3 linked regions of the Xenopus tropicalis genome follow. The protein of the gene in region 3 interacts with the protein of the main gene of each other region in a pairwise test. Links are inferred from orthologs where the notes say so. Each region holds a gene or a part of one and is shown on either strand. Other genes may lie near its edges.

Region 1 (4,247 bases), on a different chromosome or scaffold from region 3:
CAGGCAGTAACCCTTCCAACACTTTCCCCTGTCTCTGCCCCTATATATTAGGTACCTACCTAGTGCTACCAACCCCTATTTCTGTAGGGAAATGAGAGCAGGGCAGGCAGTAACCCTTCCAACACTTTCCCCTGTCTCTGCCCCTATATATTAGGTACCTACCTAGTGCTACAAACCCCTATTTCTGTAGGGAAATGAGAGCAGGGGCAGGCAGTAACCCTTCCAACACTTTCCCCTGTCTCTGCCCTATATATTAGGTACCTACCTAGTGCTACCAACTCCTATTTCTGTAGGGAAATGAGAGCAGAGCAGGCAGTAACCCTTCCAACACTTTCCCCTGTCTCTGCCCCTATATATTAGGTACCTACCTAGTGCTACCAACCCCTATTTCTGTAGGGAAATGAGAGCAGGGCAGGCAGTAACCCTTCCAACACTTTCCCCTGTCTCTGCCCCTATATATTAGGTACCTACCTAGTGCTACCAACCCCTATTTCTGTAGGGAAATGAGAGCAGAGCAGGCAGTAACCCTTCCAACACTTTCCCCTGTCTCTGTCCCTATATATTAGGTACCTACCTAGTGCTACCAACCCCTATTTCTGTAGGGAAATGAGAGCAGGGCAGGCAGTAACCCTTCCAACACTTTCCCCTGTCTCTGTCCCTATATATTAGGTACCTACCTAGTGCTACCAACCCCTATTTCTGTAGGGAAATGAGAGCAGAGCAGGCAGTAACCCTTCCAACACTTTCCCCTGTCTCTGTCCCTATATATTAGGTACCTACCTAGTGCTACCAACCCCTATTTCTGTAGGGAAATGAGAGCAGAGCAGGCAGTAACCCTTCCAACACTTTCCCCTGTCTCTGTCCCTATATATTAGGTACCTACCTAGTGCTACCAACCCCTATTTCTGTAGGGAAATGAGAGCAGAGCAGGCAGTAACCCTTCCAACACTTTCCCCTGTCTCTGTCCCTATATATTAGGTACCTACCTAGTGCTACCAACCCCTATTTCTGTAGGGAAATGAGAGCAGGGCAGGCAGTAACCCTTCCAACACTTTCCCCTGTCTCTGTCCCTATATATTAGGTACCTACCTAGTGCTACCAACCCCTATTTCTGTAGGGAAATGAGAGCAGGGCAGGCAGTAACCCTTCCAACACTTTCCCCTGTCTCTGCCCCTATATATTAGGTACCTACCTAGTGCTACCAACCCCTATTTCTGTAGGGAAATGAGAGCAGGGCAGGCAGTAACCCTTCCAACACTTTCCCCTGTCTCCGTCTGTCGCTCGGCTCCTGAATATTTCATGCCATTTCCTTCTGGTTTGGTGGAGAATGATAGAAATGTCCGTAGAAGGAGATTGGATGCTGGGAGGAGAGGGAGGAGGAGAAAGGGATAGAGAGACAGAGGGGAGGAGAGATAGAAAGAGACAGAGGGGAGGAGAGAGAGAGAGAGAGAGAGAGAGAGGGAGAGAGAGACAGATGAGGAGGGGGATGGGACACGTCTTTGTATAGCAGAACGAGGCTTGTGAGGAACAGACCCATAGAGATACCCAGTGCCACTGGCAGCCACACATGTACCCACTGCCTCCGTGACACCCAGAGACCCACACACAGGGCGAGCCACCCTAGGGTGCCACAGGCACATCCTCAGCGGCACTGGTCCTCCCTGCTCCATCAGCATCACTCCCCCAGGAGAAGGAACCATGGGTGCATCCGAGAGACTAAAGTCCAGCCTTCTGCCTGCCAGCTGCCTCCTTCTGCTGGGTGCTCAGGTGAGGGGGCTCTACAGGGCCATATTGGGGTGGGTGCTGGGTGGGCGACGTTGCCTAAGGGCAAGGGGTGAAAGGAAAGGTGCAGACAGTGGGCACAGCTGGACTGGGTGGAGCCCCTCTCTATAGTGGCACGGGGGGGGGGGCAGCATGGAAGGATTCAGGTCATGTTTCTATTGGCTTGGCAGGGGGGGTTATTGTGATGAATTGCCCCCACCAACCCAACGCTTCATGTGGCAGCGAAGGGGTTAATTCACGTGTGATGGGTGCGCAGGGAGTAGGTATTGATCTGGAAGCGGGGGCGGATGGGGCATCAGCAGGGGCAGTTGTGCTAGGGCTGGGGGGGCTGGGAGGGGGGGATCCAATATAGATTGAAGGGTCCTGCATGGGGTTAATGTTGTTTTCTTCATATGACACCGATATCCATAATAATCAATAATCCATAATCATAAACCCATAGCCCATAGGGTTGTGCAGCATACAAGGCTTGTCTCAAGAGCTTACAGTCTAGAGGGACACCCTACCTCGCCGGGTGGTGCTAAAGCGTGTAGGCTTCTGTAAAAGCGACATGCAAAATACTGGACTCAGGAGCTCACAATCTAAAGGGTCAAGGTGGCCGCCAGTTGGAAGGTAAAATGGGGGGAGATCAGTCCGTGGCCCTCCAGCCCCCACATACATAGAAATACACATTTATTAACAATGGGCAAAACTGCACCAATGCAGTAACCCGTAGCAACCAATTAGAGGTGTCAGCCTGCAGTCGACAGATATAGTGTAAGTGTAATTGCTGATTGGTCGGAAGGGGTTGGTGCAGTGGTGCCCACTTACCTGTTAGTAACAAAAAATGTATCTGGATTTCTAAAGCTACGGGCCAGGGGCCAATGGCACCTCTGGGCACAAGGGAATGCTGGTTGCCAGGTCTGATTCAGGGTAGTAGGTCCCATGGCACAATAGGTCTCCCCCATTATTTATACACAATAATACGGCCCAACCTTCTGCTCACCCACTGTTGTGTAACTATGTGATTTCTGCCACTTCAACAACAACTGAAGGGCTACAGGTTGGCACCACGGTTACTGTCACACAGTGTTACCGGCCCAGTCTTACCCTACCCACCACCTTGCCTTCATTCCTTATCTTCCCCTACTGTCTCCATCTTCCCCTACTGTCTCCATCTTGCCCTACTGTCTCCATCTTGCCCTACTGTCTCCATCTTGCCCTACTGTCTCCATCTTGCCCTACTGTCTCCATCTTGTCCTACTGTCTCCATCTTGCCCTACTGTCTCCATCTTGCTCTACTGTCTCCATCTTGTCCTACTGTCTCCATCTTGCTCTACTGTCTCCATCTTGCCCTACTGTCTCCATCTTGCCCTACTGTCTCCATCTTGCCCTACTGTTTCCATCTTGACATCTTTTCCTACTGTCTCCATCTTGCCCTACTGTCTCCATCTTGCTCTACTGTCTCCATCTTGCCCTACTGTCTCCATCTTGCCCTACTGTCTCCATCTTGCCCTACTGTCTCCATCTTGTCCTACTGTCTCCATCTTGCCCTACTGTCTCCATCTTGCTCTACTGTCTCCATCTTGCCCTACTGTCTCCATCTTGCCCTACTGTCTCCATCTTGCTCTACTGTCTCCATCTTGTCCTACTGTCTCCATCTTGCTCTACTGTCTCCATCTTGCCCTACTGTCTCCATCTTGCCCTACTGTCTCCATCTTGCCCTACTGTCTCCATCTTGTCCTACTGTCTCCATCTTTCCCTACTATCTCCATCTTGTTTTACTGTCTCCATCTTGCTCTACTGTCTCCATCTTGCCCTACTGTCTCCATCTTGCCCTACTGTCTCCATCTTGTCCTACTGTCTCCATCTTTCCCTACTATCTCCATCTTGTTTTACTGTCTCCATCTTGCTCTACTGTCTCCATCTTGCCCTACTGTCTCCATCTTGTCCTACTGTCTGCATCTTTCCCTACTGTCTGCATCTTGTTTTATTGTCTCCATCTTGTTCTACTGTTTCCATCTTGCCCGACTGTCTTCATCTTGTTCTACTGTCTCCATCTTGCTCGACTGTCTTTATCTTGCCCTACTGTCTCCATCTTGTCCTACTGTCTCCATCTTGTTCTACTGTCTCCATCTTGCCCTACTGTCTCCATTTTTCCCTACTGTCTCCATCTTGTTCTACTGTCTCCATCTTGCCCTAATGTCTCCATCTTGGCCTACTGTCCCCATCTTGTTCTACTGTCTCCATCTTGCCCTACTGTCTCCATCTTGTCCTACTGTCTCCATCTTGCCCTACTGTCTCCATCTTGTCCTACTGTCTCCATCTTGTTCTACTGTCTCCATCTTGCCCTACTGTCTCCATCTTGGCCTACTGTCTCCATCTTGCCCTACTGTCTCTATCTTGTTCTACTGTCTCTATCTTGTTCTACTGTCTCCATTTTGTCCTACTGTCTCCATCTTGTCCTACTGTCTCCATCTTGCCCT
Region 2 (4,159 bases), about 37 Mb from region 3:
GGGGCACATTTATTATAGTGTCTAAGTCAATATCACAAATTATGTTGGCCATAGCCACCAATCAGATCTTTGCCTTTGTTTAACTTGTAGTTAACCTGAATTTGAATTGCTGATTGGTTGCTATGGGCAACTTCACCAGTGCTGTTGGCTTAAACACCATAATGTGTTCCTTATAGGGTTCCCTCCTGTCCGGTTTTGACCCGGATAGCATGGTTTTTGGAATGGCTGCCTGTGTCAAAACCTCCTGCCTGGTTTCCCTGATTAGGAAAACTGGGCAGGACTCAGTAACATTGACGCGGTGATTGGGCAATCGCCTAGTCACAGCCCTGCCTCCTTCCCCACTCTGCGATGTCACGGCCCTGCCTCTTCCCCGCCCTGCAACATCATGACCCCGCCTCTTCCCCACCCCTATGACATCACCCCCGCCCCCTTGCCCAGCTTTCTTAGCCGGCAGAGCTTAGCCGGCAACCCTAGTCCCTTAACTGTACAATAACACACACATGCAGACTCACACTCAGTCTCTCAGACACAAGCAGATTTAGACTTCCCCCATATTACTGAACTTACTGAGATCTCAAACACCATTATGGGGGCCTGGGGCAATGGTCCGTGCCCTGTTTGAGGGAATGTGCCCCCCTTGCCCCTTACCGTGGGTGCCTATATATTCAGCTGATTGGCACTATATGTATCCTCCTCCACAGTGATCATCCCCCCCGCCCCCATGTACCCTTAGCCGGGCAGTTCAGAGAATAAGAGCCATCAGAAGAGGTTTGGGACTCACCGTGGGTCTCCAGCTCCCTCACTAAGGCATGGGTATCAAACGTCAGCTTCCTCTGCTCCAGCGGCGTAATCTCCACTTGTCTCACATCGTACCCGGCGGGAAGCGCTGCCGAGGTGGCAAACCCTAGGGAAACAGAGGGAGCTAAGGTCACACAGAGCCATAATCACCTGCATAATTCTGTGCTATTATATAGCATCTTATATATCTATTTAGCTTTCACATAGGAATCATGTGAAATAAAGACTGCCAAACTAGACTTTTTTTTGCTAAATGCTTTGTTTAAAATATAATGTACATAATGTATTCTTATGTACAAATATACATATATAAAAAGGAATTCTAGCAGTGACTGTGTATACAGCAGACCCTGTGGTCGCGGGGGGGCCCATACTGCGGGGTCTGCTGTACCCTAGTTTCCCTCCCCGGCCCTTCTACTACCTTTACAGTAATATGGGCTGTGCTAGGAGGTGCGGCGCGACAGGGCCGGGAGGGAAGGGACTGGTCGCTCTGGGCCCCCCTGCAGCAAAATCTTCTAAGGGGGCCCAGCGTGACCATTCTCGCTGAATTCTAGATTATTTATAAAACATTACCATAGCTCTGGAAGCCACAGGGCTCTGTTCAGAAGGGACTGAGGCTGTTCTATGAACCCCAGCACCCAGCAATAAACACAGGCTTGTCCAGCTGGAAGCCAGGGGGCTGAATGAGGCCCCCCAAAGGGATTTTCATATCCCTGAGTCATCTCTAGAGCTACACAGACCTCTTAATTCAATTTGGCCCTGGAACACATGGGTACGATGTATAAAGCGCAGCCAATCCCACCCCCCCAGATTCATCCTACAAGCTCTGAAGTTGGGGGTCGGTTTCATTCCAGATTCTCTTTCAGCCTCCATTGCCATCAGAGCATTACCCAAGGCACTTCCTTATCCAACAGGGCCCCAGGGGCCACAGGAAACAGACCCAATCTAAGGCCATTGTAATAAACAGAGACCGGCCCAGTAGCTGTTGCACCCCCAGGCCGCACATTTTCCATATAAAGATGGAGCAGACCTAACTGATACACTTGCCGCATTCATTTTCCTATTAAAGGACAAGTCAACCCCCAAAAGTTTTTGCCTAGTAAAAGAAAAGATAATTCTAAGCAACTTTCCAATACGAATTTATTATACATTTTCAGTGCTTTAAAAGTTATTTGTAAATGTAATTGCTACTGAAAGCAGCATTGGCTGAACTGGTTGTTACTTTTTAAACAATGTTGCAAAGGTCGGTCTCCCCCAGCGAGTCAGGTCTGTCAGGCTGCTGCCTTGTGTTACATTGTTTCATATGCCGGAGCCCCCAGGGCAGGGAATAGGAAAGGACAGACAAACACTGCTTCTAATAGCAATTATAAATACAAATAACTCAAAAACCATTGCAAACTTGTAATGAACGTATATTAAGTCGCTTAGAATTTTGTTTTCTTTTATTAAGCAAAAACTTATATTCTGGGTTGACTTGTCCTTTAAAATAGAGGACATGCAGTTTACAGTGTGTACAAGTATATTGGAAGCTGGCTGCTGTATGTGCTGCTTTATACAGCAGCATACAAAGGGATATTGTTCCAGGCAATCTGTACAGTTGCAATACACTATATAGCAACACACAAATACACACACTCTAAGGGCATCCCAGTGCAGTAACCCATAGCAACCAAAGACTTGCACTATGATCAAATGTAACTGCTGGCTGGTTGCTATGGGTTACTGCACACCTATGTATCTAACTCCCTGCCACATTGTACCCATGCTGTACCATAATATTTAATACATTGTTACCTTTCTTCCAAGTCCTGTGCGCTGTCCCCTTGTGTCCCTGGGAAGGGTGCAGCTGGAGCTTTTTTCCCTGGAAAAGGTGCAAGTGGAGCCTATTGCCCTGGAGGGACAGATGCCTATAAAGCTGGCTGCCCTTCATCTCATACACTACCTGCTACTACTGAGCAGCATTGAGCAATCTCATTCTACTTCCTGGTTGGCAACTTCCTGTCTGGTGGAAATGCATGATGGGGAATGTAGTTTTTCTGGGTAGCTTCATTGTTCTAATGTAATTGCTCTGTGCATGATGACATTCCCCAGGAATTCTGACTCACGCCATAGCTGAATACTCTCCCTAATTCCGGAGACTTCTTTTCTCTCTCTCCGCCCCAGAATAGGCCCAAGGTTTTTAAAATTGACCAACTGCAAAGCAGTATTTCAGAGTTCCTGTGGCAATTAATGGTTTCTTTTTCTCAGCATGTTGTGAATAATGAAGAGAGTTTTATAAAGGGGATGAAACTCACTATGCACATTATCCCAGTGTTTCTGCCCACAACAGCAGGGGGTAGCCATTAGCCATATTCACTGGCATAGGGCTGGCACTATTATTATTTAGAGTCAAACACACTGGAATACTGTTAAAGGGGACCTGTCACCCTAAGAAATAATTCCATATCCTTTTGAATCAGGCTAGTACAAGTATGGAACCCCTTATCCGGAAACCAGTTATCCAGAAAGAAAGGCCATCTCCCATAGACTCCATTATAAGCAAATAATTCTTACTTTTAAAAATTATTTCCTTTTTCTCTGTAATAATAAAACAGTACCTGTACTTGATCCCAACTAAGATATAATTACCCCTTATTGGGGGCAGAACAGCCCTATTGGGTTTAATGGTTAAATGATTCCCTTTTCTCTGTAATAATAAAACAGTACCTGTACTTGATCCCAACTAAGATATAATTACCCCTTATTGGGGCAGAACAGCCCTATTGGGTTTATTTAATGGTTAAATGATTCCCTTTTCTCTGTAATAATAAAACAGTACCTGTACTTGATCCCAACTAAGATATAATTACCCCTTATTGGGGCAGAACAGCCCTATTGGGTTTATTTCATGGTTAAATGATTCCCTTTTCTCTGTAATAATAAAACAGTACCTGTACTTGATCCCAACTAAGATATAATTACCCCTTATTGGGGCAGAACAGCCCTATTGGGTTTATTTAATGGTTAAATGATTCCCTTTTCTCTGTAATAATAAAACAGTACCTGTACTTGATCCCAACTAAGATATAATTACCCCTTATTGGGGTAGAACAGCCCTATTGGGTTTATTTAAATAACACCAAAAAATGAAAGTGTATAAAAGTAACTAAAATATAATGTGCTGCTGCCCTGCACTGGTAAAAGTTGTGTGTTTACTTCAGAAAGCCTACTATAATTTATATAAATAAGCTGCTGTGTAGCCATGGAGGCAGCCATTCAAAGGAGAAAAGGCACAGGCACATAGCAGATAACAGATAAAACACTATTGTATTCTACAGAGCTTATCTGTTATCTGCTATGTAACCTGTGCCTTTTCTCCTTT
Region 3 (4,093 bases):
CTCAAAGTGATAACAACCCAAACCTTTTAACTTTCTATTTCAACTTACCTTTCATCTTCACCATCAACAAGAGGTGTTGATAGAGGAAGAGATTTCAGTGGAAGCAAGGACCCAGAGACTGGAAGACCACCGCTACCTTCTGAAGAAGCTCCTTCGCCAACAGTGGATATGCCAGCTACTGAATGCTCCATTATACGTCTGGCATCTTCTATCTGGCTTGCCACAGACTGAATAAGAGATGGTGCAACAAACTGGCCTGAACTCTGTGTCAACTGTAGTGGTAAGCTTTGAGCAACTGGTAAATTTGCGATCACAGGTGCTTGGTTACTACTTTGACCCAAATTCCCATTTTGCGCTGCTGAAGCTTGTGAAACTGTTGGTGGTGGACCCAAAGTTGTTGCCGTTGGAGGTAAAGCGGAAGGTATACTTGTACTTAGTTGCTGAACAGTCGGAACACTAGCTGCAGCTAGCAGAGGACTTACAGCAGGTACCTGTTGGTTTGACATGCCTTGTACAGGAGGGTCAATAAGCTGACTTTGAGGCTTTGCAGGAAGCAGTGTACTCTGAGGTGCAATAATGACTTGTTGAGGAATTCCAGGAGGACCAACCTGTATTCCTTGTGGTGGAGGCAATACCTGGGAAGAAGGAGCTGGAACACTCTGTTGTATTATAGATGTTGCAACTTGAGGGGTAGCTGCTTGATGCACTGTAGCAGGAAGGTTACCTTGTGGATTAACACCTAACATCTGACCTGTTGCTGCAATTGATGCCGGGGGGTGTGCCACAGGCTGAGTTTGAGCAACTGCTGCTGGAGCTTGTGCTGTTGAAGACTGAATCTGGGTTTGCATGGCATGTGTTTGGGCAACAGGGACAGCTGCAGTATTAACAACTGTAGAACTGGTTTGCATTGGGGGAATGGCTGTTTGTATTATTTGTGGATGCTGAATGTATTCCGGCAAATTCCCTGGAACAGAACTTTGATTTACTGGTACATGTCCAGAGGTCATCTGGGCAGAGGCAGTCTGTTGATGCGTGTATTGTAACTGTTGTGGAACAGCTGGGAGACTTTGTATGGGCTGAGTCTGTTGAGTGTATGGCAATTGTTGTGGGATCAAAGTAGAAACACTTGGCTGCTGATGTCCCAAAGAGGATGGCACACCAAGTATATTAACTGATGCTGGCTGGACACCAGCAGAAGCATTCAATGGAGCTTGAGCAGGCTGCCCTGCTAGTTTCTGAGGAGAAAAGTTGGCATCTTGTGAATGCATCTGTAACTGAGCAAGCTGGGGCTGGGAAATACTCTGTGGCATACTGGGGGCAGGAATAGTCTGAGCTATTGCGTTACTCAAGTCCATCTGCGGAGGACCTAGACCTTGAAATCCTGGCTGCTGTACGGAAGGCGTCCCCATTTCTCCACTACCAACACTTTCCGTATAATGGCTCAAAGTGCTGATGTTGCTACTAACTGAGCTTCCACTAGTGCTCTCTCTTTCAGACATTACTTCAAGTGGGTTTTGTTTAATGCTCTCTACGGCTTTGTTGATTGCAGCTCCTTCTGTTGCAGCTGCTACATTATCTTTGTCATAAAATTCCATACACGTCCATCTGCCTTTTTTAAAAGGTTCAGAACTAGAGTCTAATTTTACAACTCTAAATCTAGATGTTGCTGCACCTGAAGCAACCGCCTGATGTTGTGCTGCATTCTGTCCAATTGCTGACGCAGCAGCAGCACCAGAAACATTGTTCATGATACCAGAAGTAGCACTGCTACCATTACCAGTAGTGCCTTGTGACTGCAGATTAAGGCTGCCAGGTAAAGTGCCTACATTACTTGTACTTGTGACAGAACTTTGATTTATATTTACACCACTAGGCAAAGAACCTGTTACACCACTCAGACTTGAAATATTTGCATTAGTTGGTGCACTAGTATTACCTGAAGCAGGAGTAATGCCAGTACTTACAGGTCCACTTGTTTTACCTGCAATTGGTGGTATAGATCCAGCAGGCTGATGAGAAACAGAAGGAGCAGCAACAGGCACTGCTGTAACAGCACTATCAGAACTGCCTTGTGCAGGCAGTTTCACTGAAGCAGGAGTTGGGGGTAACCCTCCGGGAATGGCTGCATTGGGTAATCCATGTTGGGAAGGATGGCTATGTCCATGGTGATGAAGGTGGTGATGATGTATACTTCCATTAATCATGATATTCTGCTGTACATTCTGTGGCAGATGATGCTGGGGGAGGTGTGGTTGGTTAGGAGAGACAGCACCAGGTGTCTCAGCTTCCTGGAAGTTATTCAAAGTCTCTTCTGATGAACTTCTTTCTGGACCCCCAAGGTCTGTGGCTCTAGATAAAGACACATCCAATATTTCAGAAGATGACAAATCCTCGGTGTGAGACTCATCCAGATCGTCATAGCTCTCGGTATCTTCAGCAATGCTATTGTTGGAGCTCATGCTGGCTGAGATTTGAGCAGAAGTTACACTGGTGATCTGAAAGCCGCTTTTCTTCTTGATCTGGGCGCCGCTCTGCACAAGTGGCTGGGGCAGTAAATTCAGTGTTTGGGGAGGATGCTGCTGGGGTCCAGGAGATGAAGCTGCGGCGGGAGGCGGAGGCTGCACCAACAGAGGAGGGTAATCATCTGAAGACAGGACGTGGCCGGCGAGCCCTGGCCCTACTGCTCCATGCAGCGCAGCCGAGCTGCCACCAGTCCCACTACCCCTTCTGGGCAGATCTGCCGGGTGCGCCATCTTCCTGGCAGCAAGATCTGCGGCTGGATCAGGCTGGTGCATTTTAATTCCCCTCCTCTAACCCCTTAGCCCACCCACATCCACTCCTCCAAACGTGCAAGATGTGCCTCCCTCACTAAGGGGGATCGGGGCTCTCCTGCTGAGATCAAACAGCTGCAGCCCTGTTCGCTCTATATGTATCTATGTATGTTATAGAGACACACACGGGCAGATGGACGTCACCCACTCCTCTGCGCACTAGCCAGATACATGTAATGCGGTGCCACTTCCCCGGCCGCCTCCCACTCCGCTCTTAATCACAATGATCAAACGCCTTCCCTTTAATGACACTCCTCCATATCAATCCTCAGGGGGCAGTGGCAGCACAAATAGTTTCCCAGGATCCGGGCGCCGGGTACGGCAGATGACAGGACAGCCGCGGTTATCTTGTTCGTTGTCGGTAGTGCGTCCGGTCAAAGATCTGGAAACGTCGGCAACAAGCTGAGCGGCAAAAGAAGAGGCCATCACTGACAGCCTTCAGCAGGCATCGTGCCCGGGGCCCGGCAGCGGCCCAATCCGTATAGCAGGGGCCGAACGCTAGCCGTATAGGGATGCGCTAGCTGGCAACGGCTGCTTTCAGTTCGGCTACTCCAAAATCACCCTTCCGGCACGGAAAAGGGGGGCGAGTGGAAGCCGAAGCAGTAGCTGGGAGCGACCGGCTGTTAATAAGCTCCCCTCTTAGTGTCTCTTTCCCCCCGTGACTCTGCCTTTCTTTTCTCTAGCAGTGCCTCTCGGCTCAGGCTCCCTGTTACACAGCGCCTGTCCCTCCCTCCTCCTCTTTAATCTCACACGGCATTGGAGGACAGCTGCTGGGAGCCGGGCAGGCAGCTTGTCAAAGGGGCGGAGAACTGCATTGACGGGAGGAAGTATGGGAAAATGGCCGCCGCGCATGCGCGCCTGCTACTTTGTGGAACGCTGATAAAAAAGAACTGAGCAACTGGGCAAGTGGGGAGGGGAGAATGGGGGCGGGGCCTGGTGATGACGCAGTAGGCTGTACGATTGGTGGCGGAAGGTTCCGAGGAGTGTAGGGCGAGGGTTTCGGCAGTGGTGACGTTAATGCAGGACTGGGGAAGACGTGTCCAGTGTGTATGTGGGACCGGCTGAGTGCATGTGGCTGGGAAGCTATTGTGCTGTGCCCTAGCCACGTGGCCGCATTGTCTGCCAATGGAGTCGAGTAGTCATAGAAAGAAAATGTGGCTGGGCAGGTAGTCCTGTCAGGAGAAGCTTTCCTCTTGCACCTGTTGTGTCCCTGGTGGGCTTCCGTGCCTCAGTTCTTTCTTTCCTAAGTGTTACACATGGCT

The links. The genes of interacting proteins can lie anywhere in the genome.
Region 1: the proteins of tsc22d1 (region 3) and aplp1 interact in a two-hybrid assay, tested with the Homo sapiens proteins (2 studies listed by BioGRID and IntAct). The link is inferred for Xenopus tropicalis from reciprocal best matches to the Homo sapiens genes TSC22D1 and APLP1.
Region 2: the proteins of tsc22d1 (region 3) and ccdc90b interact in a two-hybrid assay, tested with the Homo sapiens proteins (2 studies listed by BioGRID and IntAct). The link is inferred for Xenopus tropicalis from reciprocal best matches to the Homo sapiens genes TSC22D1 and CCDC90B.

What each region holds. Positions count from the first base shown.
Region 1 is NC_030683.2:128,757,405-128,761,651, forward strand, and holds the start of aplp1 (amyloid-like protein 1), read left to right. Parts: upstream 1-1,443; 5' UTR 1,444-1,698; coding exon 1,699-1,767; intron 1,768-4,247. UniProt on the Homo sapiens protein: May play a role in postsynaptic function. The C-terminal gamma-secretase processed fragment, ALID1, activates transcription activation through APBB1 (Fe65) binding. Couples to JIP signal transduction through C-terminal binding.
Region 2 is NC_030678.2:170,735,485-170,739,643, forward strand, and holds the start of ccdc90b (coiled-coil domain-containing protein 90B, mitochondrial), read right to left. Parts: upstream 2,805-4,159; 5' UTR 2,729-2,804; coding exon 2,593-2,728; intron 905-2,592; coding exon 782-904; intron 1-781.
Region 3 is NC_030678.2:133,681,767-133,685,859, forward strand, and holds the start of tsc22d1 (TSC22 domain family protein 1), read right to left. Parts: upstream 2,810-4,093; 5' UTR 2,796-2,809; coding exon 49-2,795; intron 1-48. UniProt on the Homo sapiens protein: Transcriptional repressor. Acts on the C-type natriuretic peptide (CNP) promoter. Acts to promote CASP3-mediated apoptosis.